Drosophila melanogaster: one gene and its partners. The protein of the gene in region 1 interacts with the protein of each later gene in a pairwise test. Each region holds a gene or a part of one and is shown on either strand. Other genes may lie near its edges.

The links. Proteins that work in one complex are often made in the same cells at the same time.
Region 2: the proteins of CG6357 (region 1) and Acat2 interact in a two-hybrid assay, tested with the Drosophila melanogaster proteins (one large-scale study listed by BioGRID).
Region 3: the proteins of CG6357 (region 1) and CG12546 interact in a two-hybrid assay, tested with the Drosophila melanogaster proteins (one large-scale study listed by BioGRID).

Annotation. Positions count from the first base shown.
Region 1 is NT_033778.4:13,836,381-13,845,026, forward strand, and holds CG6357 (uncharacterized protein), read left to right. Parts: upstream 1-3,672; 5' UTR 3,673-3,697; coding exon 3,698-3,925; intron 3,926-3,994; coding exon 3,995-4,264; intron 4,265-4,324; coding exon 4,325-4,594; intron 4,595-4,652; coding exon 4,653-4,937; intron 4,938-5,000; coding exon 5,001-5,267; 3' UTR 5,268-5,363; downstream 5,364-8,646. Other genes in the region: CtsL2 (cathepsin L2), read left to right, coding at 1,339-1,667, 2,109-2,838; Syngr (synaptogyrin), read right to left, coding at 6,904-6,956, 7,160-7,331, 7,394-7,533, 7,605-7,836.
Region 2 is NT_037436.4:1,301,021-1,307,554, forward strand, and holds Acat2 (Acetyl-CoA acetyltransferase 2), read left to right. Parts: upstream 1-1,923; 5' UTR 1,924-2,030; coding exon 2,031-2,073; intron 2,074-2,167; coding exon 2,168-2,289; intron 2,290-2,360; coding exon 2,361-2,473; intron 2,474-2,527; coding exon 2,528-2,957; intron 2,958-3,017; coding exon 3,018-3,203; intron 3,204-3,259; coding exon 3,260-3,544; 3' UTR 3,545-3,697; downstream 3,698-6,534. Other genes in the region: Rac1, read right to left, coding at 748-1,326; Nt5a (5' nucleotidase A), read right to left, coding at 4,664-6,268.
Region 3 is NT_037436.4:22,690,487-22,695,349, reverse strand, and holds CG12546 (uncharacterized protein), read left to right. Parts: upstream 1-1,537; 5' UTR 1,538-1,560; coding exon 1,561-1,914; 3' UTR 1,915-2,026; downstream 2,027-4,863. Other genes in the region: CG14453 (uncharacterized protein), read right to left, coding at 847-1,248; CG14454 (uncharacterized protein), read left to right, coding at 2,838-3,200.

The sequences.
Region 1 (8,646 bases):
CTCCAGACTCTATAAAACCAAGGTGTGCGGGTCGAGCGCCGCTTATAATCTCGCCGGTCTTCGAGTCTTCAGCATCTTCGAATAGTTTTGTGATTTGTGAACGCGGAAGGTGTTTTGAACATATCATTCCCAGATATCCATAAAAGGTGATTAAGTCGATCTTTTCAACATATTGTGTCGTGTGTGTTGTTATTTTTCGATTCATAATGGTCCGTCGAAGACAAGAGAACTGCAATTGCTTACATTCGACTCGAAATTTGATTTTAAACAGGGGAATCCATCGCCTTTCACCGGGCACAGCATGTGATCAGTATTTTATGGCAACGAAAGTGAAATCTTAGCCTGCGGTTGCCTAATCTAGATTTGATTTTGATTTATTTGGGCCCTCGATGGAGCCAATTTGGGAGCTGAGGAAATAAAAGGAGAGACGAAGCCGCGAAATCATTCATACATTTCGAAATTCATCCGAATCGAATGCTTGCACTAATGTAATTATGCTAAGCATATGCAAATTAGCTCATTCACCCAGTAATTATTCACGTCTCATCGGTGATCGAATTCGTAAAACAGACCGGAAATACGAACAGCGAATGCTCTGCTAGTTTCAAAAGTCTATTTAATTTGGTAAGATCGAATAAAGTTGAGAAATTAAGACAGCGCATGATTAATTACCCATTAACGCGATTGCTGACAGAAGCGGATAGTCAGCGTGATAGAAAAAACCAATAATAATTAGTTTTTTATTCGTTTAATCGATCATTATGTTTTTGATTGTCTTAGAAACAATGTTGATTTCTGCATAGGCGATCATTAAACGGTTTAGTTTCTTCAAAACCAAGCTTGTTAAACAAACAATTTATTAGTTTCTTTGTTTTATTTTGGTTTTGCCAAACATTGTACTTACTCAAATTACTCAAAAAGACATAACATCATTTCTTATGTCAATGAAGACACTCCACTGAATATTTACCAATAAAAAGTATCTACTGGATAAACATTTTAATATCGAATAAACGCATAGATTTTGAGTGTGGCCTGTTTTCAAATTGTGCAGATTTTCTAGGAAGCAACGTTGCTTTTAATATGTCCATAAATAAATATTTATAGCGGCTCCACTTATAGGAAACTTCACGATCTGCACGGCAGGTTGGTTCGATTGGAGGTGAATGAACGGGTCGAGTTGCGGCCAAGTGATTAACGTTGACAGATAGATGTGGCAAGAAAAGGGGCATGAAAAGGGGTCGCGGGATGCGATGAGATGGGATGGGATGGTGTAACTATGTATTGGCCAAGTGGTTACCTAACGCTTTCCACTCGCTCTGCTGTCCACCGTTCCAGATGCGGATGTGCTCAACGATGTGGCTGCAGATGACGCTGGGACTGGCCCTGCTGGGTGCTGTGTCATTGCAGCAACTGCAGTCGTTTCCCAAGCTCTGCGATGTGCAAAACTTCGACGACTTCCTCCGGCAGACGGGCAAGGTGTACTCGGATGAGGAGCGAGTCTATCGCGAGAGCATCTTCGCGGCCAAGATGTCGCTGATCACGCTGAGCAATAAGAACGCCGACAACGGCGTGTCCGGATTCCGGCTGGGCGTCAATACGCTGGCCGACATGACCAGAAAGGAGATAGCCACCTTGCTGGGCTCCAAAATCTCCGAATTTGGCGAGTAAGTAGCACCATCTTACGCATATCTAGAGCTCGGGGGAAGTCCCCTTTTTGGCCATAAACGAATTATCACCCAGCTTATAACTTTCAAACGGGTTTCGGTATCGTCGTCCATATGATTTGTAACGTTACGTAGGTGCCGATTGGTTTCCCGGTTATGCTAATCAAGAAATCAGAATTGATCAAATATTCCGACCATAGGTTTGTGGTTTCCCGAAAACTATAACCAAATGGGTGGAAACAAACAAAACCCTTCCATATCGAACTTATTTATTACGACGAAGCTCCATAACAAATGTTTCATAACTTATCGGTTGTTTGTCATACATTTAAGAACATTATGAATAACATTTAAATGTAGTCTGGTTGCCACTTAAGTAAGCTACTAATTTGCTTTAATCTTTGCTTAACGGAATACTAAAATGTTTTACTTACCTTGCAGGAGATATACGAATGGCCATATCAACTTTGTGACTGCCAGGAATCCGGCGAGTGCCAATCTTCCCGAGATGTTCGATTGGCGCGAGAAGGGCGGAGTGACGCCACCGGGATTCCAGGGTGTGGGATGCGGTGCCTGCTGGTCGTTCGCCACCACAGGAGCGCTCGAAGGACATCTATTCCGGCGGACTGGAGTGCTGGCCTCGCTGTCGCAGCAGAATCTGGTGGACTGTGCCGATGACTACGGCAACATGGGCTGTGACGGTGGCTTCCAGGAGTACGGTTTCGAGTACATACGCGATCACGGTGTAACGCTGGCCAACAAATATCCGTACACACAGACGGAGATGCAGTGCCGTCAGAACGAAACCGCCGGACGTCCACCGCGCGAGAGTCTGGTGAAAATTCGCGATTATGCCACCATTACTCCCGGGGATGAGGAGAAGATGAAGGAGGTGATTGCCACGTTGGGACCGTTGGCGTGCTCCATGAACGCGGACACCATTTCGTTTGAGCAGTACAGCGGTGGCATCTACGAGGACGAGGAGTGCAATCAGGGCGAACTGAATCACTCGGTAACCGTGGTGGGCTATGGAACGGAAAATGGACGCGACTACTGGATCATCAAGAACTCGTACTCTCAGAATTGGGGCGAGGGCGGCTTTATGCGCATCCTCCGGAATGCAGGTGGATTCTGCGGCATCGCCAGCGAGTGCAGCTACCCCATTCTGTAGGCTCACAACTGCGCCATGCAATTAGTTAGATAGTATAGTCAATTAAAAACCACGAATTTATAACTTTGTTACTGTAGTCGTAAGCTGTGTGGGTCACCACATCGATTCCATGAGTCACGCGGTTAATAAATGAAACAAGTGCCTTATCGGTTTGTGTTGCTTTCTGGGGAAATTCTGAGAAATTGGATCGTAGTCTTAACGGCTATGCACACAAAAATTAATTTTCGGTCTTATTTATTTTTTGAGAAACATTTTCTTAATGAAGAACAACGCTGTGTGGGAAGTTGTTTGAGAAAGTAATAAATTTCAATTTGGCAAAGTGGATAGAAAATGAACAATGCACACATAACCGTATAACCGTGTAAATTTGCGACAAATTTAATATAAACAAGAAATAACGCTACAGTCGGGTGTCACGACTAATGCATACCCGTTAATCAGAAAAAGCTGCAAGCAGCGTAACGTTTGTTTACAGCATTTGTGTGGAAAACACATACATATCTAGAATGTAGTTGTTACATTCCTATCAACGAGCCTAGTATTCCCGCCGAGTAATGGGTATAAAAACGGGGCTTAAATTTCAAATTAATTTAATTCAATACTATTGCAACAAATCATAAAGCAATTATGCCAGTTGTTATATATTTGGTGGGCAAGGTCACGTAAATGCAGTTACTCTTTTAAAAGATCAACACTTAAGAGAAAAGAGAGCAAAAGAAATCGCTCTCGTTGTCGGTTTTTATTTAGATTTCTCTCTGAATGCAGCTGATTTTGAGTACTTGCAATTATATATGTATGTATTCCCCATATAATTCGCGATTCTGGCAGTGCGGAGCGCAGTACGAGAAAAGTGTTCAAGATGACCTCAGCTCGAATTTTACTTGGCGTCCCACTGCTCCTGTATTTGATGGGCGTGGCTCTGGGCGTACCAGTAAGCACATCATCACCTGCTACACAAAAAATCAATCCAGAGATTGGGGTTACTACTGGGAAAAGCGACGCTGACTCATCGACACCCACAATTGAACACACCTCTGGCTTATCTGAGTTCGAGGAGGAATGCCAGTTTGCATGGCAAAGGTTCTTGGTAAGTTTTTTGATCGCATAATTCCAAGAAAGGGTATCGTTCAAGGAAGTTATTTGTATACACTCCAAGGTCGACTTTGATGTACACTACGATAATGACTACGAACGGCAAAAGCGACGTGATATATTCTGCGAAAATTGGCAAAAAGTTCGCGATCACAATTTGAAATACGATTTGGGAGTTGTCAGCTTCAAGAAGGGTATCAACCAGTGGAGTGATCTTACCTTTGAAGAGTGGAAAGAGAAACAAACTCCCAAAGTTATGCCAGAAATCGCTAGTGAATCATCAAAGGAGGAGCGAGACAAAGTCAATTGCCAGGCTGCATGGGAAAAGTTTTTGGTAAGATTAGCTAGGTTATTAAAACCAACTTGGTATTAATATGTATGATATGAATTACAGATTGACTTTGGAGCGCAGTATAAGAATGCAAATGAAACCGAGAAACGCCGCAATGTATTTTGTGCAAACTGGAGGGCGATTGTGGAGCACAATGTGCAGTATGAAAAGTGGGCAGAGCCCTTCAAGAGGGACATAAATCAGTGGACTGATCATACTATTGAGGAACGATCTAGTCCTGCTCCCGAGATTCGTAAGGAAGAAGCCACTACATCTACATCCGAAATAGATAATGATAATATCATATGCCAGCCGGCTTGGGAGAAGTTCCTGGTAAGATATGGTTGGGTATTTAAAGAATTTTTATTAAAGTTGCTTTTATCAATTGCAGATTGACTTTAAGCCGTCTTATCAAGATGATACTGAAACCGAAAAGCGACGAAATGTATTTTGCGACAACTTTAAGTCGATACATAAGCACAATGTTCAATTCGATTTGGGAAATATTTCTTTTAAGAAGGGTATAAATCAGTGGAGTGATTTGACCGTTGAGGAGTGGAAAAACAAACAACGACCTGCTTTTAATCCAGAGTTTTCTAAAGTTGAAGCTACTACAAAAATATCTAAGGATAAGAGGGATGATAATACATGTCAGGCAGCATGGAAAAAGTTTTTGGTAATATTTGGCTTGCAATGTAAATAGAATTTGAGAATTTGAATGAATATATCTTTATTACAGATTGATTTCGGTGCGAAATATCAAGATGAAAAAGAAACAGAAAAACGCCGAACTATATTTTGCGACAATTGGAAAGCGATTCAGGAACACAATGAGCAGTTCGAATTGGGAGTGGAATCTTTCAAGAAGGGCATAAATCAGTGGAGTGATCTAACTGTAGAAGAGTGGAAAACCAAACAACGACCTAATTTAGCTCCAGAGTTTTCAAAAGAAGAAACGACTACAAAAATAAGCAAGGAGAAGAAATACAAAAAAAATGTTTTTTAAAAACTAGATGATAAGATATTGTACCGAGTACATTTTCAGATGAAATGTTTGTCACCTTTTAAATACACGCAAAAATATTGCTACTAACGCAAAGAGAATACCTTAGTGATTTTGGGTTAATTTTTAAAAATATGTATTTATTATTATTTCTTGAGGGGCTGTCCAGTTGAGAATCTTGCTTGAGGAGTTTATCTATTACAATAGTGTTTCGCAAATGTTCAAGCCGATTTTATGGCTGGGTTCGCTATTTAAATCGATCATTAAGTTTTAAATGAGTAAATTTTGTTTTATGTTTCTTTCACTACCTTTTTGTTTTATAACGCACACGAACTCTAAATGATTAATTTATACTTGTATATTTGCTGAGATCCCTATCTCCTTGTTGCATTTAACAGGGCGCATTATTCGTATTACACATACAATCCGTAAATATATATAATATATATGTATATAGTATTTAATTTAACAAATACATTTGTAGGTTATCGCAAGTTGCTGCACTAAGTGAACGTTTTTATGTAATCAATATGTTTACATTCATTGATATCTGAGTACATCGAAGTGGACAACACACCGCTTCTTTACAATGCATAATGGGTATTGTTGGGGCATTTATAGTTACTATACAAATCTTTTGGTAGGAAGGGGGTGGCAACAGTAAGCCTTGAACAAGCCCTATACCATTTCATATCTTCAGCGTGTTTTTGCGAACCATAACTAGAAATATTCCTGCAGTAATCTCCCGAGTACTGAATCCCTCACAACAATTCTACGGTTATTGAATCTCTTATGGTTTAGAATTTACATATTGTTTGGCGTTTATTGTAAGTGGTTGCATTTGCTGCTCATCTAACCAAGCATCGACCCTGGCCACAGGTTCTATATTTGTTGGGTAAATCTCAGATGGTAAATTGGATATGTGGCTTGAGCAGTGTGGTTCGTACATATGTATGTCCTTCAGGTGGCCGAATCGCATCAACTATTTGCATCAACTATTTGCACTGCACGTGTGTAAATTTATCTAAAAAAACATCATGTTTTCCTCTGTCTCGAGCTATTGCCATTGCTAACAAGCTGATCATCGGGGGGACCAGGGTCTGGCACCAAAACAAATCAATTCAAATCAATTCAAATGGTACGTACACGTAAACACTAAATAACTAACAACGTTGAAAGCGCGGTCTGCATGTATACATATGGGATATATAACTAGTTGTATATCTGTATAATATATATATATATATATATATATATATATATTGCAACAAATTTCCACTACAAAAAACTGCACACTCAACTTAAAGGGCTAGCTTACGAGTTATTCAAACTACTCCTTATCCGAACCATCCCATCTCATCCCATCCGATCTCATATCGGATCGGATCGGTTTGGATATATCCCTTGACTCTTCCAATAGCTAAAGCCAGTGCTTGGATTGGTTTCAGCTGCTTTTGCTGCCTGCTTGTTGCATCAAGTGTTATTGTTTTGGTTACTCTTGTTATATGTTCGACATCGGTGTATATGGTTAAAGCCAACTTGTGTGTTGTAGCTGTTTAGTCGTGTAAATCCTTGCCAGTTGCACTACAAAATCGAAGTGAGTGTGTGCGGACAACGGAGGAGCAAGTGTGGTAATTCCTTAATAGGTGGGCTGCTGGTACTCCATTCCGGATTGTTGCTGCTCCATGCCACCTGCGGGAGAAAAACTCAGATTAATCAGGTGCCAAGTGTGGGAGAATCATCAGATTACATATTATAATGGTTAACATCAGTTAAGAACTAAGAATGATTAGGTACTTTCAATATATTGTACATAATGATCTAGGAATGGCAAGTTTATATCCCATCTTATATCCCAACTTATACTTTGGCATTGTATTAGACCATGAACTTACCCTGCTGGGGCTGGCCAAATGGTGAGGCGCTGTACTGGTCGTTGTCGTTGTCCATGGAGTAGCCGTAGGCCTGCTGGTGGACCACGTTGGCGGGATCCGTTTCGAAGGCAGAGGTGAACTCATCGCCGGCGCCGATCAGGAAACGCTTGTAAGCCATCAGGGCGCACAGAGCCTGCAGAAAGAAGCCCAAAAATCAGGAAACTTCTCCAACCAAATATGCAGAAATCTACTAACCCAGCTGACAATCGAGAAGAGGCAGAACCAAATGGCGGTCTTCATGCTGCCAGCTCCGATTCCCAGCGGCGGTGGGGCGGATGAGCTCCATTGCGACCACAAGTACAAGAAGGCCACGAAGTACATGAATGTCCAGAGGGCTGCGACGATGGATTGCCATTAGTTATGTGCTGTCAGAGGAATATATGCATATTTGGCCAGAACTACTTACCCGAGAAACCCATGTCGGCCATGACATAACGCTTTCTGCTCTTCACCGACGACATCCGTTCGAACAGGAACTCGCCACCCATGAAACCCATGGAGGCCAGGAACCCGAAGACGCCCACCATGTTGCCATACTTGCAGGCCATGCCGTCGCCATTATAGAGGCAGTACTCCTTGCCATCCTTCTCCGTCCAACCCTCCGAGGATATGCAGCCAAAGACCACCACCGAGAAGAGCTGGAAAAATCAAGAGAATTCCCAATGAATGAGGGCGCCTATTAACATTTAATGGTCCTTTTGTATGCACACAGAAATGTTGAAGAGCTGAAAATGACTCAAAGTGCCATTAAATCAACTATAAAGCTGACCTGTTTTAAAAATTTTAATTTTATCGTTTCAGTTTAATTTCAATCACTTTTGTGTGTTGTGAATGAAAGTACCAGAACGTTGTTATAAAAGTATGAACATCAAAGCTTGTGAACATCCTTTTTACGTGATTGTAGGTTCGAGTTTACTAACACTTTCTGCTGGCTAAGCTCTTACTTAGGTTTTTAATCCAACTTTCGGATTTTGATTTTCACATCATCATTTTCTTATGCTGATATAGAACTCGCACTCCATTATTGATTTTCTTGAGCAGGTGCAACAAACCAGAAGTTCAAGTACACAGACAACGCGGCAGACACGTACTTATGTTTGTGACCCAATTTGCGGAATGAAGGCCAAGTTTGGTTTGTTTGGCCAGGAAGAAAAGAGCGGGAATGGCTCTGCAATCGCAGAGTCCTTGGTCAACAGCGTGGGCACATATTACGTATACCATCGCAAACAGGCGGTGAGCTAAACGCCCCCTCGGTTATACCGTTTTCCCACTTCCCTGCTGACGCACATCCAGTCGATGGCAGAATGAAGTCCTAAGCCTAGTGGCCAATTGCCCGGGCACCTTACCACATTTAATTATAAAGCTTTCATGGACGTGAGAGTTTTTATAGTCCCTCTGCAGCTGAACACCAGAGCACTCCCACTATATCCTCGCTGCGCCCCTCTGCA
Region 2 (6,534 bases), on another chromosome or scaffold:
TGCCTTTAATTCAGTACATAGTATACGAAGGACTTTTCATCTTATACATACATGTATATATATTGATAGTTCCTGGATCTAGCAAAAGTTTAAAAAGTTGTTACTCGCCCGCGCCGTCGCTTCGATATCCAACAACATCTAAATACAAGTATGTAATAATGTAAGTGTAATTGCAATGGAACGTTTACTTTACTGACTCAATATCCTGATCCCTTCCGCAGGACCTTCGATCAACATCTATGCGACATCTATGCTTTATGCTCATTATGCGGCTATTCTCGTACTTGTCTCACATTTTTTTTAGGTTTTTCGTTTGTTTTTTTTTTTTTGTTTTGTTTTGTTTTTGGTTTTACCTCAGTTTTACAACATTAATTTTAATTACAAAAGTTATTAAATAATACAAAATACAGTTAGAGTTTACAGTTCTCCATTTCGTCTAGAAACATCTCGCTTTTAACTTTTAGTTGAAATTAATGCACGAATAAACAGAATAATTGGATTATGAATTACAGAACACTCGAAACAAACTCAGAACTCGGAAACGAAACAAAAGCAAGAGTTGGGTTGGGTTGGGTTGGGGGAATCCCCCCCTAGCAGCGGAAATTAGTGGCAAAATTGTAACAAAGAAACTACGGATGAGCCATTTAGCCTGGCCACGCTTAGGTTACATAATGGTTTTATAGTTAATAATATTACGTTTAAGCAGAGTCCGTCGGTGGAACACCACCGACCAACTGTCTAACTCTTTTAGAGCAGGGCGCACTTGCGCTTGGACTTGGGCTGCAGCACGGGGCACAAAACCGACCGGATGGCCTCGTCGAAAACGGTTTTCAGACCCTTCTGCGTCAGGGCCGAGCACTCCAGATACTTGACCGCTCCGATTTCCTTGGCCATGGCCAGGCCCTGCGGATAGGTGATGGGCGCCAGTTTCTTGTCCCTCAGCTTTTCGATTGTGTTCTTGTCGTCGCGCAAATCCAGCTTGGTGCCCACCAGGATGATGGGCGTGCTGGGGCAGTGGTGGCGCACCTCCGGATACCACTTGGCCCGCACGTTCTCGAACGATGCCGGATTCACCAGCGAGAAGCAGATGAGGAAGACATCGGTCTGGGGATAAGACAGTGGCCTCAGTCGGTCGTAGTCCTCCTGCCCGGCCGTATCCCACAGGCCCAGGTTGATGGGCTTGGCGTCCACCATCACGTTGGCCGAGTAGTTGTCGAACACGGTGGGTATGTACTCGCCGGGAAAGGCATTGGTCGTGTAGCTGATCAGCAGGCAGGTCTTTCCCACGGCTCCGTCGCCCACGACGACGCACTTGATCGCCTGCATGGTTCGATTTCCTCGACTTTCTGGACTGGAGTGCTATGTGCCTAGAGATTGGAGATTGAAGATTGCAGATTTCTGATTGCGGGGGTGCTTCTTCTTCAGGCGTTTTTGGTTCTTTTTGGGGCGGCGGCGGAGGACTGTTGCTTGCGTGGGTCCTTTTGCGGGGTTATCTCTGGAAGCGCGACTCCTTTTCCAGTGCCTTGTGGTCCTCGGGGCGACTGATGATCGCGCCTTACGTTCTGGGCCTCTTTAACTCGCGTTTTGTGCGTTAATTTCCCTAATTTTCTCAACAAAAAAAGTAAATTTTCTGTGTACTGCAGTGTGACCGCGGCTGGACTGTTCAAATTTACCATGGGAAAGCTGTAAAATACTAAAACAAATTAAAACTGCATTGAAATGGTCACCCTAAGATTTGTAAATTATTTCAAGGCTTCGTCCTTAAAGCAAACATAAAACCCTTAAGTTTCGCATTTACTTATAATTAAATCCGAATTACAAAATATATAATTTCATTGTCTTCCTGTTTATGTCAGTGATTTGAAGTGAGAACAAGCTGTTTTTAGTAGGGCTGGGCCCCAGAAGTGCAGCTTCTGGGCTTTGGCTGCACCTGGTCACACTTCTGGCAGCAAATAATACAATTTCGAAAATTAGAATTTATTTGCTGCTCAATAGCCAAGTCAATAACACCTGTTCCTTGCCCATCCAGAATGTCTGACGTGTTCATCGTGTCCGCCGCCCGCACGCCCATTGGTAAAACCAAGATAAATCGGCTGCACCATACACGATAACCACATTCTAATTGGAAACTTTCTCTTCGTGTTTGTCCAATCTGAAAAATCAACAGGTAGCTTCAATGGAACGCTTTCTAAACTGAAGGCCTCCGACCTGGGCAGCGTGGTCATCCAGGAGGTACTCCGGCGGGCGAATGTGGAGGGCCAGGAGGTCAACGAAGTCATCTTGGGCCAGGTGGGACCCATATCATAACTGTTTCTCCTCCTATCTTACCGATCTATTTGTTATGTAAATATCTTTGTTAGGCTCTAAGCGCCGGTCAGGGTCAGAATCCAGCACGTCAGGCTTCACTCAAGGCGGGTCTGCCCATTCAGGTGCCAGCCTACGGCATAAACATGCTATGTGGTTCCGGCTTAAAGTGAGTTTGTCCCGTACAATTCCGTACATTTACAATGGTTTTTACCATTTCCAGAACTGTAGCGCTGGGTTACCAGGCCATCCGCTCGGGAGACGCACAGATTGTTGTGGCAGGAGGTCAGGAGAGCATGTCCCTGGCTCCACACGTCATGCATCTGCGGCAGGGCGTCAAAATGGGTCCGGGCACTATGGTGGACTCGATGATCCACGACGGCCTAACCGATGCCATGGAGAACATACACATGGGCATCACTGCCGAGAATCTGGCCGATAAGTATAACATCAGTCGTGAGGCCCAGGATGCCTATGCCGTGCTGTCGCAAAATCGAGCCGAGGAGGCCCAAAAAAAGGGTTACTTCGACAAGGAGATTGTGCCCGTGGAGATCAAGGATCGCAAGGGTACGACCACATTCAGCAAGGATGAGTACATCAAGGCGGGCAGCACCGTCGAGGGTATACAGAAGCTCAGGGCAGCCTTCAAAGAGGTGGGTCTAAGATAAATACAAGAAGAGCGAGAGTTAACCCACTTTCTCTTGCTTATGTAGGGCGGCTCTATAACCGCTGGCAATGCCTCAGGCGTCAACGACTCCGCTGCTGCCGTACTACTGATGTCCGGCGAGGAGGTGGCCAGGAAGGGTCTTAAGCCGCTGGCTAGGATTGTGGGCTGGACTCAGAGTGGCATTGAGCCAAAGGTGATGGGACTGGGACCAGTCACAGCTGTGGAAGCATTGGTAGTTACACGGAAATTCCACTTCTATACATGCTCCTAAGTTTTCACATTTTTCAGCTTCAAAAGATTAACTGGAAGCGTGAGGAAGTGGATCTTTACGAGCTGAACGAAGCATTCGCCGCCCAATCACTGGCTGTCCTGCAGGACCTGCAGCTGGATGCTCAGAAAGTAAATGTCAATGGCGGTGCCATTGCCCTGGGCCACCCGATTGGAGCTTCAGGTGCCCGTGTCTTGGTCACTTTGCTCTATGCGCTGGAGCGCACCGGTGGAAGAAAGGGAATCGCATCGCTCTGCATCGGTGGCGGCATGGGAATCGCCCTGGCCGTGGAGCGCCTCAGCTAGTCTTAATTCATTGTCATTCAAGCTATTTATTGCCTTTTCCTGTTTCCCACTTAAGTGTAAAGTTTATTTCTCTATTCGCGTAGTATTCGCACGTACTTAAAGGCACAACCTCCCAAGTCGCAAAATCTACTCAATTAAAATTCAATTGAAAATACTTGCATTGCAGCATATTTTTAGCTGTTGAAAAGAGGAATTGTATACATTTTTCCAGTTGCGTCAGCTGAAAACTATTTATAAAACAGCATTTGTTATGATGATGCACAACCGATTTATTTGCTTTTGTTTCTGTTTCTACACTAGAAATTATTTGTACATTGTAAATTCAATTAGCTATTAACTGCAAGTCGGAGAGAACAGTATTGGGTCGATTCCTTGCTATTTTAAAATAAGTAAGGGCATTGCATCATTATAAAATAGGTAGGCTGACAAAACTAGTAACTATCCAAATGTAAACTTATACATTTAATTGAGCTAACGCTTGAGTTAAATAGCATTGCTTGAGAACAAGACACCCTCTTTTCCGCTCATTGTCACATGTATCATTTCATATGTAGACTCCGAGCTCTCCGAGTACTTTTCCAGTACCAGTAACAGGTAACTTGTTTAGATCTTCAGCATAAGCATCGCGGTCATCGAAGGTCCCACTGCCCAAAGATCGAAAAAATAAATATAGTATTTACAGAGACACTACTGGCGATTTATAAACACTCTTCGTAATTTCTTATCGTGGAAGTTAGTTATTTATTGTGCCAATAACAATAATATCGGGCATAGTTGTGGCCTTTGGAATAAGACCACGAATCTCGCATTTCGCAAAGGGGAGAGCCCAAAATATAATACAGTAAACATATTACAAAAGTACTAGCTATTGCTGACATGAATTTGTTAAGGGGAACTAAACTAGTTGTAAGTCTAGTGTGGAAAATCTTATTGCTATGGCGTACACTGTAGAGGCTAAATTGAATAATTCAGAATCTCGCGTTTTTATTGCTATTATCAAATACAATTGTTTGTACGTAAGAATTTAAAGAGGCTTCCACTGATAGAAGCCTTATCGGATTTACCGCGCCTCGGAATCGCAGGTCGGTTATTGTCTCTAGGAAGATGATAGCAAGGCGCCTATCCACGCCAGCAGCTCTTCAGCTGCACAGTCTCCAGCTCCTTGGGCAGCCGCGGACTGAAGCCATACGGATTGTGGCAAACGATTCGCTTATCTGGCGCAGTCTGCGCCACTTGCTCCACCGTGGGCACGCACAACTGGGCATAGCTGCTGATGAAGCTGGACCACAGAGTTGGTGTGCAGTCCAGGGCAAAGTATGGTCCCCACAGCTGGGAGTCCAATTCGGCAGCATACGGATATTTACCATCCTCAAGGAGCAGCTCCTCGGCTATGGCCACGGCATCGAAGTCGCGGTGTTTCACCGGTGTGTAAACATCCTGGATTATGTTATCACCGAAGTATAGTGCCTTGGCTTCAGAGGGCTTCTTCTGGAGCATTCCAGCCATGGCAGTGTGCAGCTGGTGCCAGTTGCCTTGCGAGTAGACCTCGCCCGCCTTTATGTTGTCTGCCTCTTGCGGCAGTTCTGCCAGTTTTTCCACATCCACCTGCATGAACGGACGCTGCATGGTAAAGAACCCTGGTTTCTTGGCGTATGTTACCACGAAATCGAAGTATTTGCGCCAATCCTTGCCCAGCGCCTGCGTGGCCGTCAAATTGGCGAAGTCCACGTTGGAGCCGGTGAGCAAAAATAGCTTCTTGCCGGATTTTCGCAGTTCCCCGAGCCAGTTCATCACACTGGGATCTGTTCGGAGCACAAATCGTTCCGGTTCCGCTCGCATGCTCTTGAAATAGAGACTCTGGTCGTTGGCGAAGTTCTCCCGACTGTAGATGTTCATCAGGCCAGCCTGAACATCTTGCCAGACCTGATACTCCTCTCCTGCCGATGGCTTCTTTCCCCTATCGACCAGATCCACCGCCTGGGCAAAGACCAAGGCACTGGGCATATCAAAGTAATCCAATAGCGAGCGCATTTGCGTCGAGGCGTCGCCATTCCAGGTGGACAGGGGGTCCCTGTAGAAGGCAGTGGTGATTTCCCACCTTCGATCTCTTCCATAGATGGCTTGAATTTCTGTGTCGCTTAGTAGACGGGTGCCATGGGTGGCTCGCAGGATCTGGGCCTCACTGCTCAGCTTCAGCACATTGCCACGCGGTCCGTCCAGGAACAGGCCCTTCTGCAGAAAGTCCAAGTTGAGCGATTGAAGGAGTAGATCCCTGTCATAGCCCTTCTGCTCTACGAGGAACTGCTTGAGCACCTGATAGATCAGAGCGGACATCTCGTGGAGATTGTAGCGCAGAAGGGTGCCGTCCAGGTCGAAGCCCACTATTCCATAATCCTTTAGGAGCAGCTCCTTGTGATAGGATGTCATGATGGTGCTGGCCGAATACCTTGAGTTTCCCCCTGCAGATTTGTGGAAGCGCCTAACTGTCTGCTGCTGACCCGTCACTTCTCGTGTTGCTCTTCCCACTGCTGCCGGCGGTGTTCTGACTAACGTCATTGAATTTTGCGCCAATTTATCGAGATTGCGTAACAGGAGACGAACATCTGTTTGGGCCTGTTTGTGTACGTTTGTTTTTGTTTTCGTTTTCGTTTTCGTGGCCAGTCGAAGTGAAAGGGCAGGGGCGGAAAAGGCGCCCACGGTGGCTGCTCTGCCCAGCGCCAGCATCTTATCTTATCAACTAGCACATCTCATTTGTCCGAAGCGTGATCTAAATTTAAAATTAAGCCGAAATTCACTATCACTTAGGTAGTCCTCACAAAATCATTTTTCATCTATAAATGTATGTCTACAACTGCCAGAGCTGCCAACCTTTTGAAGTTGAGCAGTACTGACTTACTTCCTTGGCTTATTCCTAGCTAGATTTAGCTAGGTATAAGCAAGTGTAAGCTATCGGAACTCGATAGCAGCTTAGGTATCGTTGGCGCAATCGA
Region 3 (4,863 bases), on another chromosome or scaffold:
CTCCCCCTTTGGAACCATGGAAGCTATTAATTTAGCTTACTAAAGTTATCTGTATCTAAAATCTAAAAAACAAAAAGGGACAATAACAGTTGTATAAAGGACAGGGTCTACTGGCCCTCCTTGAAGGAGATCGAAGAATGAGGTCTTTCGGTTGCCTTCTATTAAGCCTCATTGGTGGGCGTGTACTATACAGGGTATTTGCCAGACTATTCCTGTGGTGCCTTAGCCTTTCATAGTAGAGACTCGAGTGCTGGTTTATTTAATGAAATACACATATACACAACCAGTGACCAATTTCGCAGCCCTATTCTGGATAACCTGGATCCTATTGAGTTGGTTTTCACAAGCCAAGCCCCAAGGATCTATAATCCTTTTGTGGATAGTCAACTTATTTGATAGCGACAATTTAGTTTACAATTTCGTGCTTTGCCATCTTAGCACGTTTTCGTGATTTTAAGTCCGTATTATCTTTGGCAAATAATAATAATTTGAAAAACGTAACATGGTCTCTAAGATTATAGTGCATTTGAGTTAATAATTAGACACGACACAATCATCAATTGAGAAAGCAGACATACTTTACTTAGTTTTGCCAGAACAGAAAGCTTGAACAGACTGAAAAAACAAACAACTCCATTTCAGAAATTCCCATTGAGGTAAGAGACCCCCTCTAAGTTGTAAATATAAATAATTTATTTTTTAAAATTTTCTTTATTTTTAAAAAACGGAATATCCCACAGCAACGCAACTGCAATTTAGTTAAAACATCAATCTTTGGCTTGTATTAGCTGTCTGACTCGACAGGTTTCTAGCTGCAGCAGCCTCCTCTTCGACTGTAGCAATCGTCTATCCACTGCGCTGCCTTTGCTGGCGTCTTCTGCGCTGCTGTTGGCGGCGGCGCCTTTGGCGCTGTTGGCGCCTTTGGCGCTGTTGGCGCCTGCGCCGTTGGCGGGCCAAGCGACGACGACGGGCGGCGGCCCTGCGACGACGGGCGGCCGCGCTGGAGGACGACGACGAGGACGAGGACGAAGAAGTGGTGGTAGTCGTGGCAGACGAGGCCACTGTGGTGGTGTCGGAAGACGTTGAGGCTTCAGTTGTGTCGGAGGAAGAGGACGCGGTAGTGGAGGTGTCCGAGGCGCTGGTACTATCCGAGGAGCTTTCAGTGCTCGTTCCCGTAGCTTCGCAGCCCTGCTGGGCAAACAGGAGGCAGCCGAGAAGGGCCAAGAGCAGAACAAATATGAATCGCATTCTAAGCAGTTATATCTTATGATTTGGAGAATAGCCTATTTATATGATGTTGAACCCGGAAACTTGGTTGAGAAACGCGCTCATTACCGTAAATCTATTACATTATTATGTGTGTTAAGACTCAAGAGCAACGTTTAAACTATATGGCGGCACACATAATTTCTCAATCTGAATAAACATTACCAAAATTTACCTTAGTTAAAGCTAACAATCCAGCAGACCTATTAGCTTACACGCTTTTGGTAAACCACCATTATTCAAATTTGCTATAAAAACATGCGTAACGTCTCAAATGCGTCAAAGACATTCAGCATGCGCTTCTCGATCGTAATTGTTCTTTCCGTCCTAGGATGCCTCCTGCTTAGCCAGGAGGGCAGTAGCAGCACATCTACATCCTCGACGACGACCACAACCACCGACTCCTCTGCCACCACTACCACGGCTTCGTCCGCCACCACTACCACCACTGCCTCTTCCGCATCCACCACGACCACTGCCTCCTCCTCATCCTCTTCCTCTGCGGAGGCCAGGAGGCGCAGGCGCGCCCGTCGCCGTCGTCTGGCGCGTGAGAGGCAACGAAGGGAGCGCAGAAGGCAGCGCAGGACTCAGAGGCTGCGCCAGCAACTGGAGAATCAACGTCGACAGATCAACCAGCTGAGCGGATGAAGGTCTTCGGAAAGACTCGGCTTATGACAATTTAGGAAAAGCTGTTGTAAATATGTGAAAGCTAAATTCTTTCATTGTTCAAGTTCGCCAAGATAATAAAACATTTGATTGTACATTCTGATAATTCTACTTTATTGGAGCACAAAAACGTGTGGGAGTGGCATATTTAAGCGGCTTGAGGGAGTTCAACGTTCTCAACTCTCTAGCTTTTAGAGTTGCTGAGGTCGAGACATTCGTTCGGACAGACGGAGTAATAGTGATCAAGCATATACATATGTATAATTAATAGGGTCGGAAACGCCTGTTACATACTTTTCAACAAATCTAGTTTAGTCTCATTCCAGGAGTAGCCTGTTTCAAATCGAGACGAATTTTGAAATCGGTAACTGGTATAAAATTAATATAATTATACACATCTTTGTTGTGTTTGGTTTAAAAATAATGTAAACCACGTATTTGTTTTTTTGGAAAATAAATCTCTAATTTCGGAGAACTTAAATGGATATAAGCCAAAATGCAACAGCACAAAACTGTTAATTGGGTACGCAAAGCTCAAATGAAGAACAAATAAAACACCTTTAACTCGTCAAGTGCTGCGATTTTTACTCAGATAAGATGTGAATGTACATAAATAGGTTATACCAAATATTTCCTTCAGACGTGACGTGGTCGCCATACATAATTAGGCGTAAGAAGCGTTATAATATTACCTTTTTATCTCGTTTTCAACGAGTTAAACCCGGCTCACTATCAATAATATATCGATCGACTCTTTTACTCTGTTGACCTTACAAGCCCAAGACATTGACGAGCTGGATAGGCTGTGCACACATTTCCGATTTCCGATACATGATATTTGTTTAATTGTTACCCCGTATTGAGTATAAAAGGCCGTCTGATTAGATTAGATTAGACACAACAAAATGCGCTTCCTATTCGCTCTACTTCTCAGCGTGCTCCTGTGTCTGCTCCTGGCTCAGGAGGGCAGTAGCAGCACATCTACATCCTCGACGGCGACCACATCCACCGACTCCTCTGCCACCACTACCACGGCTTCATCCGCCACCACCACTACCACCACTGCCTCCTCCGCATCCACCACGACCACTGCCTCCTCTTCCTCCTCCTCGGCGGAGGCCAGGAGGCGCAGACGTGCTCGCCGTCGTCGCCTGGCTCGTGAGCGCCGTCGTCGCCAGGAGCGGAGACAGCGCCAGGAAAAGAGGAGGCGCAGGATGGAGCAGCTGCTGGTGAGGCAGCGTCGCCTGATCAATCAGCTTCAGGGATAAGTGGGGGCTTGGTCCCTTAAGATAGAATCTTCGGCCGTTCAATAGAAATATAAGCGCTGCACCAACTAATCAGATTATTAGATTGATCTCTTTCTTTGGAGGTATTTTTGAGAAGGCATGCCTGCAGCGTTGAGCAAGGTTTCGTTGTGGGCATTAGAGCATTTAAGACGTTTCCACAGGCATTCCCACGCACATCTACATATTCTATCCGACAAGCGGCGAATCCGCGCAATTCCAAGGCGGCAGACAATTGGCCCTATCCCTGGAGTTTATTATACCAGAGCTTGAGCGCTCGAAAATGCTTTTCTTGCAGCCAAGCTCAGCAGTCAGCCCGCCTGGAATCAAATCAAATAAAATATTCATTTTGGTCTTTGAACTGTGCATAAATGTGCTGCTGTTCACGAAGTGATGGAGCCACCCAAGCCCTGGATACTTAAATCTATTGGATGTGAATAAAAATTACGCTGAATGTGTGCATATATAAAGAGTGCGGTTTGGTGACGGCACGTCATCATATTCTTAGACGTTTCAAAAAGCCAAGGATAACATAGAGACTGACAGGGGGAATCGATGTTTTTTGGTCTTTTTTTTTTTTGCATAACTGCTTGAAAGCAGTTCAAGATTGGGGTTATATTCTGTTAACAATATTCGAATCCACATTTGCTTCTTTGTGCCCATTAATTGCTCAGATCAGACGCATAGAGAATGCCGCCATCTCTGAAGGCTGAAGAAATTTTTTATCGGATTTTCTCGCTACAAAATTGCATTTCAGGGAACTTCGTCCGCAGACTGGGCAGCAATTGAGGGAAACGAAAATAAGCAAAATGCCGCCAGCCAAAAGGTAAAGTACGTTAGGCTGGGCCAACCCTTATTGTTGTCATTTTCCAGATTGCCATTCTGCCATCAATGCCGATTCTAAGCACAAAACGGAGAAAAATGTGTTCTTTCCATCAGATTATTTCCTTCAGATCCGAACCCCTTTTTTAAATTGCTGTGGCATGCGAAATCTTAAAGGAGTCGTAGATTAATGCCCATTTAAACAAATCCTTCAGACATTTTGAGTAACTAAACCTGAACAAGAAAAGGAACTTGTTTTTGCACTAATTGTGGTTTCAGGTGAGTAAATCAAATAATCTGGCACTGTACTGCCGAGAACATTGAAACATAGTTAGAGAACCCGCTTCCACCGCAACAGGGCATTGGCTTTGTACAAGATTTAAATGCGCTAGAAATTGTTTGAACTAAGCTCTGGAAACAGGAGATTTATTGTCCCGAAAAGGAAAGCTCTCCCTCCGCAGTGTACCACCACACTGCCCTTGGCATTATCAACGAATTCAATAAACCTACAGCAGAGGCAACAGTTTCATGTCGTGGACATTGGAAACGGGAATTGGATGCCTAATAACATCGGGATCTGTGATTTATACCAGGCCAGTGTGAAATGCTAAAACATTTCCTCAGCTGCAAGCTATGTGAAGGTCCTCTGTTCCTGTAGCAACAACTTAATGCGCAACAACAAGCTGCGATGTTGTGACCAATTGAAAACTCCACCAAACGGCAACGAAGCTAAAAAAATATTCGGCCAGCTGGGAAAGAGAAATGTTTTGTTTAGCTTAGTTTCCTTTTTTGTTTGTTCAACTAGAGACTCGAGGCTCTGAAATTG